3 linked regions of the Pelodiscus sinensis genome follow. The protein of the gene in region 1 interacts with the protein of each later gene in a biochemical or structural test. Links are inferred from orthologs where the notes say so. Each region holds a gene or a part of one and is shown on either strand. Other genes may lie near its edges.

Region 1 (7,633 bases):
GCTGTTCCCAGAGCTCAGGAAACCTGCCACTCTGAGAACGGGCGATGGCGAAAGCCAATATCAAGCAGAGTTCTACAAAAACCTGAGTGGATGCTCTACACAAACACGGCTATAAACACACCCAAAGGGCTTTGCCAAAGATTTTAGCAGGTTTCTCTGGTAATTCTCCAGCCTCTCCCAGTTTTGTGGCTACCAGCACGGAAGCAGGGGCTTTCAAGTTTTACACAAAGGTATGCTTAGGATGCAGAGACTTCCAGTATATCCCAAAAGCAGGGACAAGGCGGTGATAGAAAGCGACCAGTGTTCCCTCTAAATTTTCCACCCATGAGCAGAATAAATTTTATGTGCACCAAGACATGCGCAAATGTGCACCACTAATAGAACCACATGCTGTCGGCTGTGGGCACTCTGCTAATCAGCTAGGTAGCATTTGAATCTCTTCTGGGTGGCCACCCACTCAGCTTACCAGGCACACTGGAAGTGACACCGCGGCACACCATAACTAGCCTGAGAGCACTGCAGAATAGCCATCCGCTGCTCCAAATGTCTACCCAATTGCACACTCTCAGCATCCAGGAGTGACTCCGGAGCGACAGGGCAAACAGTGTGTGAACCCAAAGGGAAAGTGATAAGAGCAGGCAACACCCCTCGCTCTCAGTGAGCACTTTTCACCCACGTCTCTCTTTGCAGCCTCAGTTCTGTTTTCTCTGGTTTAGAAACCGGTAAGTCCCCTCCTGCCAAAGGTCACCCTGCAAAGCAGAGGCAAAACCAGGAACCGAACCCAGGGCTCCCAAGGCCCAGCACAGTGTGCTATCCGTGGGCAGTGGCACCCGGGACACTTTTCACAAGGGCCAGGCCCTTCCAGGGTACAGGGCGTCGCCGGCGTAAGTCTCCCCGGGATACACCTGCTCCGCACTGAAGTCGCCCACAGTGGGAGGAACAGACGCGTTTCCAAGTGCTCCCAGCCCCGCTCTTAGGTCGCACAAAACCCCAAACAACACAACAATGTGTGCAAATGGAAGTGGGGGGAGGGGGAAGTCCCACTTTCCTGTTTCACTAGAGGCCCAAGCGTTTTGGACGTAGCTTGGACGTACAGCGAGGGCGCCCATAACAGCATCTCTCCGGTTTGGCCTGGGGGACCCTGCCTGGTGCCAGGGAGTGGGGGGGAGGGGGGTCTTGGTTTGGGGGCCCGCTCAAATGGGGGTGCCCCAGCAAACTGCCCCTTCCCCCAGGGCCGGCCCACAACATTTTGGCACCTGAGGAGGGGCGCTCCAATGACCCCCCCCCGCCCCCTCGCTTGGGCAAAACTTTGGAAGGTCTCACTTCCCTGGGTCCTGGTGCCCCCCCCAGTTCGCCTCCTGGTAAGGCCAGCCCTGGCTCCCCCCACCCTGCCCCATGCAGAGGCAGCGGGGCCCCCAGGCCCTAGCCCACCGCACGGCCCCTGCCACCCCGCCGAGGGCCCGCAGCAGCCGCAGCCCGGGGGCCCAGCGCATGGCGGGGAGCCCCCGGCGGCACCACTCCCCGGGCCGGGGGAAGCGGGGACCCCTCGGCGCAGCTCAGGACGCGGGGCCCCGTGTTCGCTGCTCCGGCCGGGCCGTGCAGGGAGGCGGCCCCGCCCCAGCCCCGGCGCCCCCTGCCCGGCCGGGCGCCCCCCTCCTACCTGCGCGGCGAGCCAGGTCAGCGGCGGCCCGGAGCCTCCATCGCCGCCGGGCAGGTGCGTCCCGGGCAGAGCGCGGCGGCTGCGGGCGGGCAGGGAGCAGCGCTCGGCGGAGCCCCACCCCGGCTCGGCTCGGCTCGGCCCGCCCCGGGGGTGGGGCCGCCACCTGCCAGCCCGGCCCCGCCAGCCCGGGTACCCTGCAGCCGGGGTCGTGCCTGTGCTCGGCGCTGCGCGTCTGGGCAGCCCCGCGCTGGGAGCCTCTGGGCGCCCTAGGTTTGGGGGCCCCCCTCAAATGGGGGTCCCAGGGGAACTGCCCTTTGCCCTGCCTGCCGCAGACCGCTGCGCCCCACGGCTGCCTGGTCCATGGCTCCCTGCCACAGCAGCGGCCGCATGGGGGGTGCCCCCGAAGTGGGGCGGCGCGGGCTTGGCAGCCAACGCAGCTGGCGAGGCCGAATCAGGGAATCTGAGCTTTAGGGTGCCCCCCTAGGGTCGCCCCCTCTCTCTCCAGGGCCGAAACAAGCCTGAAGAGGTGTCGATAGGGGCCGGGGAGGCGCCCACCCCAGAGACAAAGACGGGCCCCAAGTGTGTCACCCGAAGCCGGACAACCCATCCCGAGTCCTCAGCCATTTCTGAGAGGGGGGTTGGCTCTGGCAGCCGCCAGCCTCCCGTGCCAGGACCGGCCTTGTGCGTCCGCCGTCCCTGCAGGGCCAGGGGACCCCCACCGTGGCCACGGAGCAAAGTCCTGGCTGCAGCCGGGCCGCAGCGTGGGAAGCAGGAGTTTGGGAGAAAGTCCCGTAAAATCGTAGGGTGGCGGGTGGGGAATGGCCTTGCCCCTTGTGGAAATACAGGCGGCCGCGCTGGCCTTGGCCAGGCCCAGGCTTTGGGCCTTAGACGGCATTGGAACTGAATGGGGCGTGACACTGAATCAAGGTTTGCTCCTGTTCCTAGCAGCCGGAGTGGAGGGTGCGATGCCCAGTGCCCTGCTGCGCCAGTGTCTCCTTCATCCCCCTGCGCGCTAGTGAGTAGGGGCGCAAAACCCCATGTCAACTGGTACCTGGGTACAGGCTTAACTGCCTGTCCCCCCATGGATGGGGGAGGGGGTGTGCGCTGGAGCAGCCCTCGCCCCCCACAGCTAGGCATGGTGGGCCCGGCTGAGGGGCTGCTCCGGGCCCTGGTTCACTAGGTATGTTGGGAAGGCAATGCTTACCAGCTAACCCTTTCCTTCCCTAGGACTGAGCGTAAATCGCTCTTGCTGCTCGGCAGGGAGGGAGAAGGCGAATTCCCAGGGGGGGCAGTGCGGCCCGGCTTCACCCAGGCAGAAAGACCAAGCCAGGTGCTGGGCAGGGGTGTATCCGGTTCCAGGGAGTGTCCTCCGAGGGCAGAGCTCCTGAAAGAACCTGCAGGCGCCACTCCAGCTGCATCCCTGCCCGGGCGGCCATAGCAGTGGAAGTCTGCCCCCTGCTGCTCCCAGCTCTGCACTGCAGAGATTTCCCCACGGGGGGGGGGGGGGGGGGGGCTGGAACAATGTGTGTAGTGGGGGAGTCCCGTCCCTGCTCCTGGGGTCCGCTCTCCCAAGCCGTCCTCTCACTGCCAGGCTCAGCTTCCCCTCACCAACGCGGATCCTCCACTTTCTCCCCGGCGCCAGCGCCCAAGGCGTCTGCTCAGCCGGGATTCCCGGCCGCGAGCAGCTCTCACCACCAGGCCCGTTTCAGCTCCCATCCAACCTAGGGACCGAATAGTGTAATCAATTAACTGATTAATGCTTATCGGTTAATGCTGTAGACTACACGCGTCCCCCCACCCCACTTGCCAGTACGTTTTTTAGCAGGCTGGCCAGCTCAGTCCTGGCTCACGCTGGGTCCGGGACCAACCCTCGCTGCAGCTCTGCATTTAAAGTGAATTAGCAGCCAGGCGGGCAGGCAACCCGCCTCAGTTCTGGCTCATGCTGGATCCAGGAGCTCAGACTGCCCCCTCCTCCCGGACAGGGGCTGCTACCTCCCTGCGCTGTATCCGAGGCAGCAGTGCGGGGCAACAGGCAGCTGGTTTTTAAACTGGCTCCCCTCATGGACCAGCTCCCGCCTGGTACCCCGCGGCATGGCAGGGGGCTCCTCAGGAGTGGGGCCAGAGCGCACTGGCTGCCGGCCCCGCCCCTGGGGACTATCGAATAGTCGAGTAACCGATAAGAATTCACGAGGTTAATGGACTATTCAATGAACCGATATTTAACATCCCTAAGTCAACCCGGGTCCTCCTGCCGCTCTTGGCCAAATGGCTCCGGTTGCTTGTCTCTCCCTAAGAGCCAGGCAGCTCTCCCCCACCGCTGCTGTGTCCGGTTCCCTCTGCCTCCCTCCCTCTCAGGCCTGCTGCCCTCTCTCAAGCCTCCCTGAAGGGTCCCAGGCAGGCAGCCTCTCCTTAGAAGGCCACTAGTCGAATCATCACAAGACGGGAAGGAGGCTTTCACGGGGAGGAAGAATTGGCAATGGCCTCCCAGCGGGGAGAGAGAGACAGAACTGCGATGCAGACCTGCTCCCTAGTGGCAGGCCGCGAGACCGCTCCTGGCCGGCCGGCTGGAGGGATCCCGCTCTCAGAAGCCAGGCAGCCCCGTTGTGCCCAGCAGCCCCCGGAGGCAGCCTGGCCCTGGGTCTTTTTCCAGCCCCAGCCCAGCTCCCCGAGGGCTAGCCATGGGGCAGCCAGGCAGGGTTGCAGAGGGGGCCCGGTGGGTTTTCGCAGCCTGTCGTGACACTGGCGACCGTGTTTTTGGTTGGGGGCCGCCGACTCAAAGAAAAATCAGACAAATGAGACACCCCCCCCAACCAAAACCCCTCACTGACGTGGCCCCCGAGTGAGAAGCAGAAAGACCCTCCCCACATTCCCCATCACACCTCAGAACCTGGCGGGGGCAGGCTAGGGGACTTTGTGGGCCCCAGGCTCCGGCGGGGGCAAAAACTGAGGGGTTCAGTGGGGGGGAGGGGCTGCCAGGAAGCAGGCTTGTGGTGTGGGGGCTGGGCGGGAGGGAGGGTCCAGGAGTGTGTTGGGGGTGGGTAGGTCTGGGTGGGTGGGAGGTGGCAGGAGCAGACTCAGGGTGGGAGGGCTGGGTGGGAAGTAGGGTGCTGGAGTGCCAGAACCAGCTCCCCAAAGCTGGGGGGAGCTCCAAGCCTGGGGGGCCAGATCCAGGCAAGCTGGGGGCTGGATCTGGCCCCCAGGCCATAGGCTCCCCCCCACCCTGCGCCAATTCCAGGGCTGTAGTACCGAAGCAGTGCTCCTAGAGGAGCGTCAAGCAGGAGAGCACCCTTTAAACCAGCCCCCATCTCACTGCGGTTCCCCGCTGGGCCGTACCTGCTTCTCTAGGGGCTCGCGTCCCTAGCGCATCTAGGTGCCAGAAATAGAAACCCAGCTTGGAACCCTGCTGCCTTCAAACCCGGGTTCTGCTGCTTTTCCCCACACACCTGCCTTCTGGGCCACCTGACCCGTGGCATTTCCGTCTCCATAACCCTGTATCGTGAGCCTGTCCCTAAACCCCCCTGCCGCTCGCCAGTGCGTCCCTCTCACCGAGAGAAGTTGGTTCAATAACAGAAATCACCACACCCAGGCTCCCTCATTTTTTCCATCCGTGTGCAGAATAAATGTTGTTCTGTGCACCGAGCCATGTGCAGAGGGGCACCACCAGGAGACACACACGCTGCCGGCTGTGGGTGCTCTGCTAATCCGCTCTGCGGCATTCGAATTTCTCCTGGGCACTTTCCCACATTCTCAGCTTAGAGGGAACAATTCACCTCCCCCGCTTTGTGTCTCTAATGTTTGAGGACCGGCACAGCCACAATGACACTGCAAACCGCTCAGATCTAGGTACCGTCAGTCACGGCGTGCGGGGGAGTCACCAGGCCCTGTCCCCACATCCACAGTCAGACGGACTGTCAGCCGGCAAGTAGAAGAGAAGGTTTCTTCATTGACAGGGCCACCGCGTAGCACAGACTTGTTGTTGACACAGGAACCGGGAGCAGCCAGTACAATCCAACTTGGGGTGGGGGGAAGGAGGGGGCAGAGCCGGCGCCCTGGGCCACCTCCCTGCATCCTCCGCCAGCTGAGAGTAACTCTCACACCCAGCAACTGGTCCCAGCCCCGCAGTCCCTGGCAAGGTGTCACCTGGTTGCGCTTCCCACCTCAGCTCAGGTTACAAGACAGCCTGAGCTATAGTTGTGGACATGGAACAGCCTCCCCTCAGCGAAAGCAGCATCCAACATTCCCATCCCCAGCCGGGTGCCCATGCAATGCCCAGGGAAACTGAGGCACACACCCAGGGTCCCAACGGAACAGGGCAGGGCAGCAGGAATCACAGCCAGCCTCACAAAGCAAACAGAGCAAACACAATCCCCACTACGTCACGCCATGGCCAAGTGCCGCCAGCTAGCGCTGGGTTCTCCACACCCTCTGTAGCTTGTTTTCTGATTGCAGGGAAGCTGACAGAAATGCCAGGCCTCAGGGCAAAGCGGGCGGGGGGGAGGGGAGAAAGGCAGCTCTATGCTCCTTTAAGGGGCGGAGCCTCAGATTGAAGGGGCGGGGCTTGAGGTTACTCTCCTGGGCTCTGGCCGCCATTGCTATTGAAGTAGCAGCGAGGGGCGCTCTGAGCGCTTTTGAATCACCGGGCCCAGGACAGCTGCCCCTTTTACTTCCTCCCACCCGCTATCAACAGGCCTGGCTGACTTGGCTGGATTCTATCAGAACTGAGCTGCGCTTTCACCTCAAACTTATCCCTAACCTGAATCGAGAGCCATTTTTTGTGCAAAAAACAATAGAGTTTTGTTTTTTAAAAAAAAAACCCCAAATCTCCATGGTTCTCATTTGGCTCAGGGCCGGGAGCCAGAAATCCTGAGCTCTAAAGATAAACTCCGGTTCTCCAGGGCCAAGCGGAAGGATATCAGCATTCGCTCACCGCCTGGGTGGCTGCAGCAGGCAGGTTTCGGGGCTTTAGAAGTTCCCCCCATCGTGCGTTGCTGACCTTGACAGATCTGCTCCCGCAGGGTGCAAGCTGATATAATAAGGGGCATTTTCTCTGCCTTCGAGGATTGCCCTGCGACGGAATTTGCCGTGGGCGTGAATCCTCCCCAGAACAATCGCGCGCTTCATTGCTGATCCTGTTCTTCATTGTTCCCCTGACCTATTACATCGTGCCAGTGCGCAAGGGGGGAATCTTCCCGTTGGGCTCTCTCCAGGACATCTCTGTGCAGTGACCTTCACACGAGACAGGGAGCTATTGGCAAGTCCGTTGACAGAGGCTCTGTCATCGCTCTGTTGGGCGAGGGTGGCGGGGGGCAGGGAGATGGCAGAACAGGGCTCATCTTGTTCACACATTTCTAAGGCTGGTTCCCCAACCCGTCTCTCAACTATGGAAGAGCTTCAATGGTAGAAGCAAGGAGGAAGCTACTTCAAGCTACTGATGGGTTTCGAGGAATCGAGCTGTTGATGAGAACTAGCTGGTGCTTAAAAAAATACAGTTCAAAGAGGGCTCGATCCAGACCCTTAGCACTGAATAGCAGAAATATTCAAGTCCAGAGCCAAATTTAGCAGGTGGCTCCAGTCCTAGCCGGAAGCCACATCCAAAGCACATCCCAAACCTCAGAAGAGTTTGGCTCGTCCCTCAGACATGGTGGCTCTGCCCAGGCCTCATGACGGATGTATGTCATTTCTGCACGCGAATTAGCACAAGAAAAGTGGTTTTCCATCGTATTTCCAAGAAGGGACCAGAAATGGCCGGAGACCCCAGAAATGGCCCGAGACAGAGTGCCCTTTCTCTGGAGTGCAGCTCCCTCGGACAAGGTAGGACACATGCAGAGGTTGCCCCGTCACACTAACAAGTGGCAAACTAACGTACCGATCTGCACGTTGTCCTCTGGGCTGGGTCAGCAATGGAAAGTGGACGACACTGTAACCCCCACACCTCTGCTGGGTGGGGCACTCTTCCACCTCGTGGCCCCGAGA
Region 2 (7,893 bases), on another chromosome or scaffold:
ATGGTGATTAACCATACACATGCCATTTCCTCTTTTTAAGTACAGGCAGTCCCCGAGTTACGTGGATCCGACTTATGTAAGCCCCCCAGCAGACCAGGGAGATGCTGAGCAAAGCCGCGGAGCACGCGGGCAGCGGGAAAGCCCAGACACGCCGCGGCTGTCTTTGCTCCCCGTCTCCCTGGTCTGCTGTCTCCAGCAGACCAGGGAGACACGGAGCAAAGCCGCGGAGGACCCGGGCGGCGGGACCGTGGTACGTCTCGGTCTGCCACCCGCATCTTGGTCTGCGGGGGGGGGGGGGGCGCAACTAGTGCCCCCCCCCCTCCCAGCAGACCAGGCTTTTCTCCGGACTCCTGTGGTAGAGCAGCTGGGGCACTGCCAGTTGGTCCTGCAGCGCTGCTCTGGGCGCTACTGGACCAACCCAGCAGCACCCCAGCTGCTCTGCCCCAGGCGTCTCCAAGTCAGCAGCTGCTGAAACTGATCAGCGGCTGATTCCACGAAGCCCAGGGCACAGCAACTCTGCCTCGGGCTTGCTGTAGTCAGCCGCTGGTCAGTTTCAGCAGCGGCTGAATCTGGATGCCAGTTCCGACTTACATACAGATTCAACTTAAGAACAAACCTATAGTCCCTATCTTGTACGTAACCCGGGGACTGACTGTAATGCATTTTGTTTTAAAAACACACAGCTTTTGAACAATACACATCTCTTAATAAGATGCCCATCTAAGCATAACTAAAGTGCTCACGTTTAAAAGATGCATGACTCAATACTGAAAAACAGTTCTGACAGAAATAACTAGACCATGTTATTTTGCAGGTGACCAAATGTAAATTCATTGTAAATATATAGCATGGCAGACTATAGTATCATCAGTCTCCCTCTTTCCTATATAACTAGTTTGTTTCACTATTAAATGAAGTTTAAAAATGGATAGAATACTTTAAAAAAAGGCATTTTAAAGCATAAGTGAGAATGTTTTACAGTGAATGTTCCATGCCACTGGTTAGTAATTTATGCTTCAGAATAGGTGAACTGTAAAAATGCTATTGATCTGACTTTCTCTTTGTATGGAAAAAACTGCTATATATAGAAAGTATGCTTTAGAGCCCTGTCACCATACAAGCGTAGAGACGATATACTCACTTAAAAAAAAAAAACTGGTGAGGGACTGTAAGGTCCATCCTGTAGCTGAAAGCTGCAGTTTACAGCTTAGTCTGTCCTGCAGAAAATGAATGCATTGGATGTTTAGGGAAATATGAATAGTGAGTCTATTTCAAATGTCTGGCAGTAGGTTGTTCACATTAGATATAACTGACAGATTCCTAGGATACTGTGGTTGCCTTTGGGATAGTATAATATTTCATTGGAAAGTATTGTGCAAACTGCTAAAACCCCAGAACAGTGATTCATGATGGTGCTACTTATTGCCTTTGATATCTACCACTAAAATGTATGCTTTGCAAAGTCAATGCATGGAAGAGACTGAAATGTTTTATTAACTTTAATTTCCTTTTGTAAAATGGACTGTACCCAATGTGAAGGATCACAGCACTTATGAGCCAGACAAATAAGATACTTCTGTCCAGAGTTTCATGTACCTTTAATTATATATTACTGTGAAACCATTTTTGTGTCTATTTCCTTTCAGGTTTTGTTGCATTAAGCTTATGGTTAAATATACTCTTTACCAATGCTTGTATGCTGGTGCAAACAGTAACATAGTAGGAACACAAATAAAATAGAGCTGTTTCTGATATTACAGATGCAGAATGTAAAAGGAACACAGTCAGCCAAGAATGATTGATACAGTTGTAATAAAGGTGGAAAATGCCACCTTGCCAGTGATAGGCTATTTATATGTATATGAGAATTTAAGTGACTCTTTCATAAGACATTTTACATGTAATTAGACAAATACTACAGAACTTTGTACTCAGACATAAGTTACTGACAGCCTTAAGAATACAAGCAGTGAACAACAACGTAAAAAGCTGGCATAGTTGTTTAGATGAGTTTTTGGCAACAGTCCTATTTCTTTTAAAACCACTGCAGTTGAAGTGGTTACTATTTTAGTAGACATGCACCATGCCATAGAGGAAGGTCCAGAAGAGAACATATGTGAAGAGGCCACCGATAAGCCCCCCAGTGAAAAGTGGCCTTCGGGATTTAAAGTACTTATTCCACCGCCGTCCAGCTTTCAATACCAAAAGCATGGAGAGAAGGACAGAAGCCAAGAAGTAGAAGATAAAGCCATGTAAACCAGTCAGACCAAGAATTCCTGCTGTTGCTCCTGACAAGGCAGAAACTGACGTCCTGCAATAATCCAGAATGGCTGCATTCCCTCGGACTGCTCCTTCGCTGATGAACTGAGGTCCTTCTCGCTTGGCCACCATTGTAGCCATTGCTCCGGTTTGGAGTCAAGGATCTTTTTCTCCCAACAAGACTAGGTCAAAGGAGAGAAAAAACTACTGTACTAAGTCAGTTTTATTTCATTTTACTTAGGATGATGGGATGGAACCATTCTTTTCCCTCCTGTCAATAACTAACAACAGGAACTGAAATAATGAAAAATGCACTGCTACTTGGAAATTGATGACCTTAGCACAAATCACCATCAGTAAACTGATAGTTCCTATAATCTTTTCAACATATGGTAATGTCAGGCCTTACATCAATGCATTCAGCAGAATATTTTTCATGCCCTTTGGGGGAAAAAAAACACTGTATTCCCAGTTATCTCTTATTAAAAATAAGTGGTGGTCTTTGAATAACTACAATAAATTAAGGAACTAGTCACATATCTACTAGCTGTTATAACTGCTGGTATTTAAAGAGTTACTAAAACATTCAAATAAATAATGTAGTTTACTCTTCAATTCTATGCAAATATAAAATTAACTTGATTTAATCAGGTAAGATTGTCTCTACTTAGAGCCCTTTACTGTCATTTGCACCACATATATAAACAAAACTGAACCAATCTCACTACTGTATGGCTACAGCACATAAATTTGTTACAAGAAGAAAAATTTAGGCCAGCTTTATTAAGTCTGAAAAAATAGAATGTATCCTTCCAGTATAAGATGTGCAAGCCCAATTTATAATGAGGTTACTTAGCTCTATATGGCATTTTCCTCATCCATGTAGTTCTAATAGCAAACTTTTTCACATCCTCCATTTTGTATCATTAATAAGAGTTTGAGTAAAATTTCTTATTTACATTTACATTTCTATCATTCTGTTCAACAATGCTGCCTCTAAGGATGTAAAATCCTGTTTAATCAGTTAACCCCACATTTCTCAAACTGTGGGTCCTGACCCCCCTGGGGGGTTGAAAGCAACTTAAGGGGGGAGGGTCGCAGTATCACAAAGTTTGAGAACCTGAGTTAATGGGTTAAACATTATGTCTAACTGGTTAATGGCTTAAACAGGGGTGGAGGCTGCTCTGGGCCTGCCCCTATTGCAATGCTCCAGCCAGGCAGAGCCTTCCCAAATGAGGACCATTCCCCTGGGCTGGAGTGCCCCTCTAAATGGTTACATGTGGTTAACCATTCACATTTCTAGCCACTTCTACTTATCTACCTAAATTCTGAGGTTGTAATTAAATCCAAGGAGGAAGTATCTAAACACTACAGGACCCAATTAGCTTCATGTAATTTGCACACTGCATTAAAACACTGGCAATTCTATAGCCTTTTTCAAACAATGATTTCAGAGTGCTTTAAAGAACCCTTTCTCCACTCAAAATAACTAGATACCGGGCTTGTCAGCATTCAGTGCTCTAGAAGAGGTATATCCTTTGCTAGTATAGGAAACCACCATGGATCCTACACATGCTTATACCAGCATGGAATAGATTTCTTCTAGAGCACTGAATGCTTACCGGCCACTTCACTTTGAATGGTCCCTTGAAATAGGTATAATTCTAAACACTCTCTTCCACAGCGTAATACATGAATGTTAGGATAAAACATGACAGCTCTTCAACAGCAACACTGTGTAAGAGCTCAGGACTGAAAGCAAAATGCGTTGTGCTTAACTGAAGCTTCTGAGAAATCTGGAGGGCCTCACAATGTAATTACCTGAGGTTGATTGCAATCAGAACAAAAGGGATTTGGTCAAGCACTTTACTCCCCAAATGTAGCTTTTCTGCAAAAGAAAAATCGGTTAAACTGTAATCACGTTTTACAAAGTACCAATAAAAGATTTAAATCCATATGTCAGTGTGGTCTGTCATTATCTTGCAGGTGGGTCTCGGAGTTGGGGCTCACTACCCCCCTGCAGTGGGGAACTGTTACTCCACCCCCACAAGGCTGGCACACCAGTGCTGGCTGGCGAGGGAAGGACGCAGCTCTGTGCGCTGCTGCTCCCCCTTTCCCTGGCTGGGGGCTTTCCCCAGTGCTCCCATTGGCCGAATCACAGTCAATGGGAGCAGCAGGGGCGGGTGCCTGAGAGTGGCAGGAGGCACCGAACCAGGCAAGCAGCCCCCCCCCGATCTCCTGCACCCCCCCCACTCTGCTCCCCCCCCGCCCCCACGTGGTGCCCACGGCTGGCTGGCGGTCCGTGGGAAGGCCGCGTTGGGCGGGGGGAGCCCTCCCCACGGGGATAACGTCTGAGACCCGTCGGGCGGGGCGGGATTTGGAAGTTTCTCTCCCCCCCCCCGGCAGCGCCCTAGGGGCGGGCGGCCTGGGGGGCAGGCTCCGGCTGGGGCCCGAGAAGCGCCAGGCCCCACAGCGGGGAGGGGGGGGGGGGTCACTAACCTCCCGCCCTGAGGTAACCGCCGCCGCTCACCCGTCGCTACCGGCCGCCATCTTGGAACCGAGGCTGCCGGGAAACGCCGCGCGCGCCGCTCCCTCCACCCCCGCCCAGCCCAGGTGTCGCTGCGGCTGCGCATGCGCCGCCCGCTCCCACGGCCTGAGGCGCCGCCCCCGATTAGCGGGGCCGCCGGGCGCTTTTGTTGGCGAGTGGGGCGCGAGCTGCCGGCGGGGCCATGTCGTACATCCCGGGGCAGCCGGTCACCGCCGTGGTGGTGAGTGGGGGAGGGGCGGCCGGTCGGTCCGCGCTGGGCTCGGCTCGCGGGGCTGAGGGCGGGGCTCGGCTCTCTCCTCAGGGCGCCCGGGGGGGGGGGGGGGCGTGTTCCGCCGCCGGTACCAGCGGGAGGGGGCAAGGGGGCGGGGGACTGTCCCCCCCCCCCCGCGCTCTGCTGCCAGCAAAGCAGCCCCCCCCCCGCGGGTCGGCCTGTCTCCGTCAGTCCGTCCAGCGCGACCGTCGGGGGGGTCCTGCCCGCGGGCCCCCCTCTGCCCGGGGCCAAGCCCCTTCTCTCCGCGGGGAAACCCGCTCGTGTCCGCCCCCGATAAATGCCTCTTCTTGGAGCCCCCTCCCCCGCAGAGCCCCCCCAGCGCCCCCGCCCTCCCCGACCCCTCTAGTTCTGCGTCTTGTCACTGCAACCCCCCCCCCCCGCCTTGATGCACCTGCCCCGCGCACCCTGCTACGGGGGTAAAACAGAATTTGAAACATCTGCCCCGAGGCAAACGAATCAGAGGGGGGGGGGGGGTGAAAATTGCACCTTTTCGTTGTGCGGGTCTGAAGGGATGGCATGACTTAGCTCCCCCTTTGTGTGTTTAAATACGGTATGTTTTCGGCTATTCCATTTTTCTTACCACTTTTGTACAGAACTATTGTACGGTCGCTAACCCTTCTGGACACTCAGGAAAACTGGAGTATGATGTGCTCTGACTTGCCCAGGGTCAGTGGTAGAATAGGGAACAGAAGCTCCCTGTCCTGTCTCTCCGGTCATGAGCTAATGGATTATGCTGTGTCCACGAGTTGCTTATGGTTACCTTTCGGATGAGTATAGGATTGTAGGCATGCATGCTACTTTTCAGTAGCTATATTGAAGGGATGAGAAAACGGAAAAGTGAGAAACAACTCCCCCGCCCTCCTCCCTTTTTTTTGCAAAAGGCCTAAAGTCATATAAGAACAAAGAACTAGAGGCTATATGGTGACTACAAAATAGTCTGGGAAAATGTACCCTGTAAGTGTAGAGGTGAAAACTTGCCGCATATCCATGTGGTGAGCACTATCTGTCCAGCCAAGTGATTGTCAAATGAAGTCAGACTTCTGACATCTCCTGCCATGCCAGGCAGCCTGAGCCCAAACTGGGATCATGGTATGTGTTGTGCTTTGATTAAGACGCATAATCAACTTGCCACTTATCAGAGGACTTCTCAGATGTCCGACCTCTCTAACAGTATTTTTCTTTGAAAACCATTGTGATTTTGATGGAAAGTGCTCACTGTTTAGCTTGCCAGATGTTGCCTTCTGTTAAGGTGCTTTCTGGGATAGAAGATAATGGCTCAGAATTACAATGAGCCACTTTTCCTGTGGGTAAAACCCCTGCACATCATGCTGTTCAAGGAACATAGGTTTTCTTGATTGGAATCTCAGCTATAGTTAATAAAAACCAAGAATGTCCTTGTTTGGCTTACATTGTGGTGCCTTAAAATACCCATCCCAGACACATACTCAATAAAAATGCCATGTGACTGCATGCTGTTCCTTTGAGCCTTGTTCTCAACAACCTGCCTCTGAGCCAATTCCAGTGTGGAAGATGACATAAAACGATATCAAAGCTGCTGCCATCCGCTTGTTTGGCTGCCAGCCTGGAGTCTGTTCCTTGTCTGACTTTTTGTATGCTCGGCTGCAAATTTGTAGTTTGTCTGTGGAAGTTGTCAGTATTTCCAATGAGCTCATGTGGAGTCTTACTCTTCAGTTAAAATGAGACTGTTTACTTGGCTAAGTTACAGACACCTCCCTCTTGTATGACAAATGAGCTAACTTGAGCAAGGAAGCATTCTGATGAATGGAAAAAGGCAAACCTGAGGGAAGAAAATTTAGAGACTTGAAATATCTTTCATGTAGCCTCTAATTACACCCCTACCCCCATGCTTTCTTTCCAGGAATTACTGTCGGAAGGGAAAGCTAGTTACCATATCCAATATGTACCTGGAGGAGATTTTAGAATATCTCGCATGGCAGAATATGCCCCTGAGCAGGGGATATAACAGTTTCTAACAGTTTCTAATCTCAGTACAGTATAAAGTGTCAATCCGATAGCATGGGGCATTATTGACCGTTATGTCCTCCTCTATACAGGGCTACATGGTGGTCTTTAAAAGGTTGGACTAGCATCTTCTTAAGCTATTCTAGACTTGTGAAGTAGATTTAAAATGCTTCGTGCTTAACTAGAGATATTCCTTGTGAAAAATTAGACACTAAGCAAACTTTTGAGAATTCAGTCCTTGAGTTTGATTTTATTATTGATTTCTATTATTACAGGTATTAAAAGGCATAGTAACAATAGTTGGTCACACTTGAGTCTATGAAATTAAAATGTGCTAACATGTGAACTACTTTCCTTGGTGAAGATTGCAGAGCAACTCACTTCAAATTAAAAATCACACTTAAACCAGGCTTCCTGGTGACATATATGATAAATCTAATAATTTTGGTGAAAGTAGGTCACGCAGCAGAGTGCACAAATATTGGTTTGGTAGAGCAGTTTGTAGCCGGGGCGGGGTGGGAGGAGGAGAGAATCTGGGCTTAATTCAAGAGGAAAGACTGAAGAGGCCCTTGCTGGACAAGGTTCTGGGTAAGACTTCCTTACTAAGAGTTCCTCTGCTGTTACTCATACAACGTTTTAAAATCCCTCCCTCCCTTCATTTCCATTGTGGTTGTAGAGATTAAACTTCTTTAGATGCCTAAGTGGCTAGTCATTTAGGGATATGATTGGAGATGCTTATTTCTGTTGTGGCTTGCTAACAAGGACAAAAGATGCTTCTCAGTTACTGCTGAAGGGCAGGGCATCCTAATAATTGATTCAGTTTTAAAGTTTA
Region 3 (6,844 bases), on another chromosome or scaffold:
AAAGATTAGGTACTTTAGAACTCACCACTCAAAGAATTAAATGTAAATGTATGAGAAATGAAAATGATGAAATGCACAGACCAGTCAAAATCCAAAACTAACCCACTTTGCAAGCAGTAAAAGAAGTAACAACCTCCCACATGTGTTAGGTCGGGAGAGGAGAGTGAAGGACAGTGTGTTTGTGAAAATGACAGACACACACACAGTGTGTGAGAGTTACAGCGATTTGCACTGCCAAGCTCCCTCCATTCCCTTCTCTCTGTGTGGAGATGGGGTACGGGGGGGGGGGGAAGGAGGACACTCTGACATCAGCACCCCCCTTTACCCAACACCTTGCACAGCAAGCAGGAGGCTCCCAGGGGGCAGCTCCCAGGCAGAGGTCAGGAGCAGTATGACAGAGGGTGGAGGGGCAGGGCAGTTCAACTGCTGGCACGCGATAGCTTCCTGACCAAACCAGTCAGGATCACCTGTCAGAGGCGCTGTGGCGGGGAAACCGCTCCCCGCACTTATGTCCGCTGTCCGGCAGCTCCCAACCCTACAGGCGCCGCCGCCGCCTCTGCGAGCGGGGCACCAGCAGCACATGCGCAGCAGGGGGCAGGCCGCAAGCGGCAGACTCTAGAGCCCAGGGACGCCAGCACGCCAATGGGGCGGGGGCGGGACGCCGGGCCACACGCCCAAAAGGAGGAGGGCTGGGAGGAGCATGGGGGAGGAGAGCAGGGTCTGGCTGTGCTCTCACCTCCCACAGGTGGAGAGCTCGAGGGGCGGCGAGCGCCCGGGACGGCAGACACCAGAGAGGAGTGGGCCAGCGGCAAAGGAATGCCTCTGGGGGGGCCCAGGAGCAACGCAGCCCCCGGCAGATGGGCCGGCCGAGCCCAATTGTTGACAGCCCGAGGAACAGAGCGGGGAACGGACAAGCCAACGGGCCAGCTGAGACTGTAAAGCGGCCGCCATGCAGCAGCAGGGACACAGAGGGAGAGAGAGAGAGAGAGAGACTGAAGGCGGGGGTCAGCTGGGCTGGACTGGACAGAGCTTGACCCCGCTACAGGCTCCAAGATCTACTGGTAGATCCTGAGCTACTGGTTGGTGACCACTGCCCTAAACTCTTCTCCCCCTCCCCCCAGGCCTTGGCCACAGAGCCAGAGGATGGGGTGGGAGGGGAGACAAAGGGTCCCAGTAAGCGTGATGCTTAGCGAGTAATCGGTTACCCATTGACATCCTTATCCTGAAAGACCCACGCAACTCCTGGTAAGTCTTTTTGTATATCTATATAATCACCCCAAACCCAAAGCTTCCAAAAAGATGCTGAGGTGATAAATTTTTAAGTAGCTGATGCCATACAATATCTTCCTATCCAAGTACAAACAGATGAACAGAAGTATGGGCACTTTCAGCCCACTCAAATAGCACTGAGACTCCAGTCGACAGGTAATTTTTTTTCCCCTCCTTCTCCTATCTTATTCTGAATCCCCCCCCCCCCATTTTTCTTCCACTCAATCTCATCTGAAGAAGTGGGTTTTGCCCACTAAAGCTCATTACCATATATATATATATTTTTGTTAGCCTCTAAAGTGCCACATGACTACTCGTATTTCAAGTTGCAGACTAACACGGCTCCCCCTCCGTGGATTTTAAACATGCAAGGCACTACATTCAGCTGTCTGAAGTGGAAATCCATCAACTGCATAAGACAATTCACAGGGATCCAAACAGACATCATCTTCCTAGCCAAGTGCAAACAGAAGAACTGAAGTATGTGACACTTCCAGCTGACTCAGTTAGCCTCATTAGCACTCTAAGGTGCCACAGGACTACTCATTGTTTTTAAAAATTACAAACTAACACGACTACCCCTCAGACTTTCAAGTATTTGGAGACCTCACTTGTTAATACCCTCAAGTGAAAAGCTGAGTGTTTTTACTTTAAAAAAAATTTTAGATGATTTTGCACAAAAAAATTTTTTTTTAAAAAAAAATGTAGACATCTACCTATCAATGCCTGGAAAAGGTTGCTCTGGAAGATATTAATGACACGCTCTATGGAGTTTCTCAGCTGTCTGTCCTCATTTTGGCTCAATTTAGAGCGGTATTCCTCCAGGAGATACAGAGCCCGCTGGGTATCTGCAAATAAAAACAAAACAAAAAGTTAGAATTAAACATCACCATGAGGGGAGAGATAGCAGCTGCCCAATAGTGGTCAGTACAGTAGTTCTTGATATCACACGCTCGATACGCCACTTTCAAGAACTCTACCCAATTCATCACGAGTTCCTGACTCCCCGCTCCTGCTGCAGGTTCTTCCCCAAGAGGCAGGTGTCTCCAAGGCGGTTTTACGCGCCCACGGACACACGACGCTGCAGCTCCAGAGCCACCCGCCCCCGAGCGGACTCGTCCGCCGAGCGAGCTCAGCAACAAGCAGCCCGCTGCGAACTCCGCAGACACTGGGGGAGGCGCCGAGTCCCCGCGGCTGACCCCGCTCTCGGCACAAGCCGGGCCGCGCCGCGCGCGCAGGGTGACGGTTTCTCCCACCGAGGCGGTTTAACCGCCGCTTCGGTCCGCGCGGCGCGGCTCTCACCTTGCTTCCGGACGGGCATGGTGCGCCGCGCGCCGCTGGACTCGGGCGGGACGCGCCCTGTCGCCGCCCTCCCGAACTTCGCGCGGGGCACGGGCCGGCAGCCGGAGCGGAGCGGCGGGGGGCGCGCTGCTCGCTCCTGCCGGGCTCGGAGGGGCCTTGCCCCGCGCTCGAGGGCAGGACGGACCCGGACCCCGGGGTCCGGAGCGGGGCCGGGACGGGGCGGGGCAGCCCCCTCGGAGCTCGGGCGGGCGTCGCCAGGCAGCTCCGCCCTGGGAGCCGGCCGGGGGCCCGGGGCTCGCGCGCCCGACACTGCCGCGCGGCGGGGGCTGCTCGCGCGCTCCCTCCCGCCGCCTCCGCTGGAAATTCCAAACTTTCCAGCCAAAATGGCGGCCCAGCGGCTGTGGAGAGAGCAGCCCCCACGTGACCGAGCCCAGCGGCGGCCCAATCAGGAGTCAGCTCGGCTCGGGGCTGGTACCTAGTGGGGCAGGCAAGGTGAGCACTCGGCCGCTTAAAGGCGCCGTGGCCTGGGGAGCCGGCAGGGCCAGGAGCACGTGGGAGGCCCCGAACCAATGGACACGCCTCTCGCCAGGGGGCGTGGCAGTAGCTATGGGGGGCAGGCCTGCTGGGGCAGCTGCCCCACCCTGGCACCCAGACCTGGCTCACTACTCTGCCCTGCAGGCTTGTTGCGCAAGAGAACGGCCGCACCGCGCCTACATCTACATTGGCAAGACTTTGCGCAAATACCTTTAGCGCAAGAGTTTTTGCGTTAAAGTATTTGCACAGGAGAGCGTCTACACTGGCATGTGCCTTTGTGCAAGAGATGTGCTTTTGCCCAAAAGCATCCATGCCAGTGTAGATGCTCGCTTGCGCAAGAAAGCTCCAATGGCCATTTTAGCCAGCGGGCTTTCTTGTGCAAGCAATTCATGCCTGTCTACACTGGCCTCTTGCGCAAGAACACTTGTGCAAGAGGGCTTATTCCTGAGCGGGAGCGTCACAGTTCTTGCGCAAGAAGCGCTGATTTCTTACATTAGAACGTTAGTGTTCTTGCGGAAGAACTCACAGCCAGTGTAGACAGGCGGCAAGTTTTTGTGCAAAAGTGACTGCATCTTGCCAATGTAGACACAGCCTGCGTGTGCTTTTGCACAAGAGAAAAGATCCACACTGTGTGGACGGTCTTGTGCAAGAAAGGCTACCTGGAATCACTTCAGGCAGGGTAGAAGATCACCAGTTGCTTGGGAGTGTTTTCTGTAATGCTACTTCCTAGGCAATCACAACAACAGCCACACTGGGTCAGTCCAAAGGTCCATCTAGCACAGTATAATGTCTTCTGACAGTGGCCAATACCAGATGCTCCAGAGGGAATGAATACAACAGGTAATCAAGTGATCCATCCCCTGATACCCATTCTCAATTTCTGACAAACAGTGACTAGGGACACCATTCCTACCTATGCTGGCTAATAGCCATTAATGGACCTAACCTTCATCAATGTACTTAGCTTTTTTTTCAACCATGTTATAGTTTTGTACCTCACGACATCCTCTGGCAAGGAGCTCCACAGGTTGACTGTGCTGTGTTTTGTGAAGTACTTCCTTTTGTTTATTTTAAACCTACTTCCTATTGTAATTTCATTCGGTGATCCCTACTCTTTGTGTTATTTCAATATTGTTCATTTTAAATACTATAAATGACTATCTTAGAAAATAATTTTGTTAAAGATTTTACATGGGAATGTCACCTGCTTAATCACAGTCAAATTATAATCATGCTTTGTTAATTCTGAAGCAGCCCTGTAGATTAGCATGCCTGTGGCAATAATAGGCTATTTAAATTTTTTTATAGATTCCATCAGTTCTGCACATTATATTTTCAGATTGGCTCGAGACTTAGGACGTCTAGTGGTCAACATGCATGAAGAGATCAAAATTACACTGTAGCAGACTGACACTAGTGCCATATTTTGTAATTGACTTGTAAGATACAGCATTTTGTAAAATGAATGGGTCAAATTTCATACAGCTTTACAGCACTGTTTTTGGTATTCATGATGTGATAGTGTAAACAATTAAAAACATAAGAACAACCATACTGGGTCAGACCAAAGATCCAGCTAGCCCAGTATCTGCTCACAGTGGCCAATACCCCAGAGGGAAGGAACACAACAGGTAATCCTCACATGATCCATCTCCATTTCCAGACAGTTAACCGATGAGCTCCCTGCCAGCAGATGCTTCAGGTAAATAAAACATCCCAGCATGCCAGCAGCTTATCCTGATGGGCCAGGAACCAAAGTTTGCCAATCCCTGAAATACAGGATTGGCTTGTGAAAGGGTCATAGTATTTTGCCATTTTTACTTATCAATCTCAGGAGGTCAGCTTGTAAATGAACAGGCTGATGAAAGAGTTTATATAATAAGGTGCTTAAAACCAGCATTTTTCTTCTGCATACCAAACTTTCAAAGTTGTATTAAAAGTCAATGTTCAGTTTTAAGCTTTTGAAAGTGCCATGTGTTATTCAGAGTCACAAACAACTTCCATTCTAAGGTGTTCACCCCTCTGAGTTTTTACTAATACATGGGGACTAGAAATGTAATAGAAGAGTTTTATTGTGCGAAAGCCAAACAAGTTGTACAAAATAAACATAAGCAATCCGCAGCGGAAGAGTGGGTTACAGCAGTAACAAGAACTGTAGGTGGCTTACAAGCAATCGACATAACCCACCTTGTCCCGGATACAAGTGAGGAAGTGATTAAACTATAGTCCATACACAACCCCAGGGGCACCCCACCCCTTCACTCGTGAAGCAGAATAGAATCTCTGTCTCTGAGTGTAGACTCTATATCAATGGGTGGAGTTTGCCCCACTGGGTGGATCACTCCTTACTACAGAGCTCTTCAATCCAGAAGGCAAAGATTTAACACAATCAATTCCTAAATTAAAGCTAGATACATTCAGACTGCAAATAAGATGTCATCTTTTTAACAATGATGGTAATTCACTATTAGAACATCTTGGGTTTTCCATCACTGGCTATTTTTAAATCAAGATTGGATATTTTTCTGAACCATCTGCTCTAGGAATTTTTGGAGATGCTTTGTGACCTCTGTTATATAGGAAGTCAGATTAGATGATCACATTGGTCCCTTCTGGCCTTGAAATCTATGAATCTACAATACCAGGAGGAACATGCATGCAGGAAAAGGAAGAACAGATGCTGATGAATAGTGCTGGGGGGGGGAAATCAATGCTAAAGCCAACATGATGGATCAACAAACTAGGACGCAATTATTCAAACCACATTGCACCTGAGAAAGTATTGCTAAGTTCCCATCATTTCTATTTCTTCTGTAGGAATAGACTGATAGGGTAAAGTGATGCCAGTGTTTCTAGGAGTAACTAGAACATGAAGAGAAAATCTTCAAGAAAGGAAGAGTGAAATTTTATTAGCATGGTTCGAGTGGAATTCTATGCTGTGCCCTTTAGAGGTGCAGTGCAGAATTCAGTCAGAGGGAGAGAGAATGAGGTGGCTTTAACTAAGCCACACCTTTGCAGCCCCCTTCCACCAGTTCTGGGTTGTTTCTGGGGCTGAAGATACTGTAATTTAGATACCTCTGAGGACTTCTCTAAGTTAAGCCACCTCATAGGGCAAGAATCTCTGCAGTGCTATGACCCTATTTCTGACACACCGTCTCATCCCAGGCCTATACACTATGCCACGGCTTGCACGCAGTTCTTAAGGATGCTTTGTGGCTATCTTCCATAGATACTAAGTTACTTAACATGACACAGTCCACTATTTTATAGAAATGGTCAACATTCATTGCATCCAGACATATGATCTTACTTTTGCGTGTATTAAAACACATTTTGTTTCAATAAAAGCAGATTCCCACGCAATCCAAATTGCTTGGCATGACCACTTCATCACGCTTTGCGTCATCTGTAAATTTAATCAACAGTGATTTTAAATTTATGTGATGATCACTAACAAAAATAGTAAATAACATTGAGGTTAGTACCACTAAAAATATCACCCATTTGACAATGGTTTTCTATGGATTTTTACTATTTGTTTATTGAGATTGTATAGTGCTGACTTCTTCGAGGAGTATCCCGGTGGGTGCTCCACCTTTATCTTGAGGTGCCACTGCGCGCCTACTTGGAGATTTACAGTAGCAGTGCCTTCTGGTGAGCCGCACAAACGGGACAGGCGGCACGCATGGTGTCGCTGCCACGCATGTGCGGCAACAGTCCCTTCAGTTCCTTCTCTACT

The links. The genes of interacting proteins can lie anywhere in the genome.
Region 2: the proteins of ARHGEF16 (region 1) and TAX1BP3 form a complex in vitro, tested with the Homo sapiens proteins (2 studies listed by BioGRID and IntAct, with this or other methods). The link is inferred for Pelodiscus sinensis from reciprocal best matches to the Homo sapiens genes ARHGEF16 and TAX1BP3.
Region 3: the proteins of ARHGEF16 (region 1) and DLG1 interact in a test that uses a peptide from one of them, tested with the Homo sapiens proteins (2 studies listed by IntAct, with this or other methods). The link is inferred for Pelodiscus sinensis from reciprocal best matches to the Homo sapiens genes ARHGEF16 and DLG1.

The regions. Positions count from the first base shown.
Region 1 is NC_134733.1:21,397,427-21,405,059, reverse strand, and holds the start of ARHGEF16 (rho guanine nucleotide exchange factor 16), read right to left. Parts: upstream 3,004-7,633; 5' UTR 2,865-3,003; intron 1,792-2,864; exon of another isoform or gene 1,661-1,791; intron 1-1,660. UniProt on the Homo sapiens protein: Guanyl-nucleotide exchange factor of the RHOG GTPase stimulating the exchange of RHOG-associated GDP for GTP. May play a role in chemotactic cell migration by mediating the activation of RAC1 by EPHA2.
Region 2 is NC_134731.1:3,641,679-3,649,571, forward strand, and holds the start of TAX1BP3 (tax1-binding protein 3), read left to right. Parts: upstream 1-4,887; 5' UTR 4,888-4,988; coding exon 4,989-5,027; intron 5,028-7,893. Other genes in the region: EMC6 (ER membrane protein complex subunit 6), read right to left, coding at 2,068-2,400. UniProt on the Homo sapiens protein: May regulate a number of protein-protein interactions by competing for PDZ domain binding sites. Binds CTNNB1 and may thereby act as an inhibitor of the Wnt signaling pathway. Competes with LIN7A for KCNJ4 binding, and thereby promotes KCNJ4 internalization.
Region 3 is NC_134720.1:55,448,063-55,454,906, reverse strand, and holds the start of DLG1 (disks large homolog 1), read right to left. Parts: upstream 3,007-6,844; 5' UTR 2,591-3,006; coding exon 2,572-2,590; intron 2,118-2,571; coding exon 1,986-2,117; intron 1-1,985. UniProt on the Homo sapiens protein: Essential multidomain scaffolding protein required for normal development. Recruits channels, receptors and signaling molecules to discrete plasma membrane domains in polarized cells.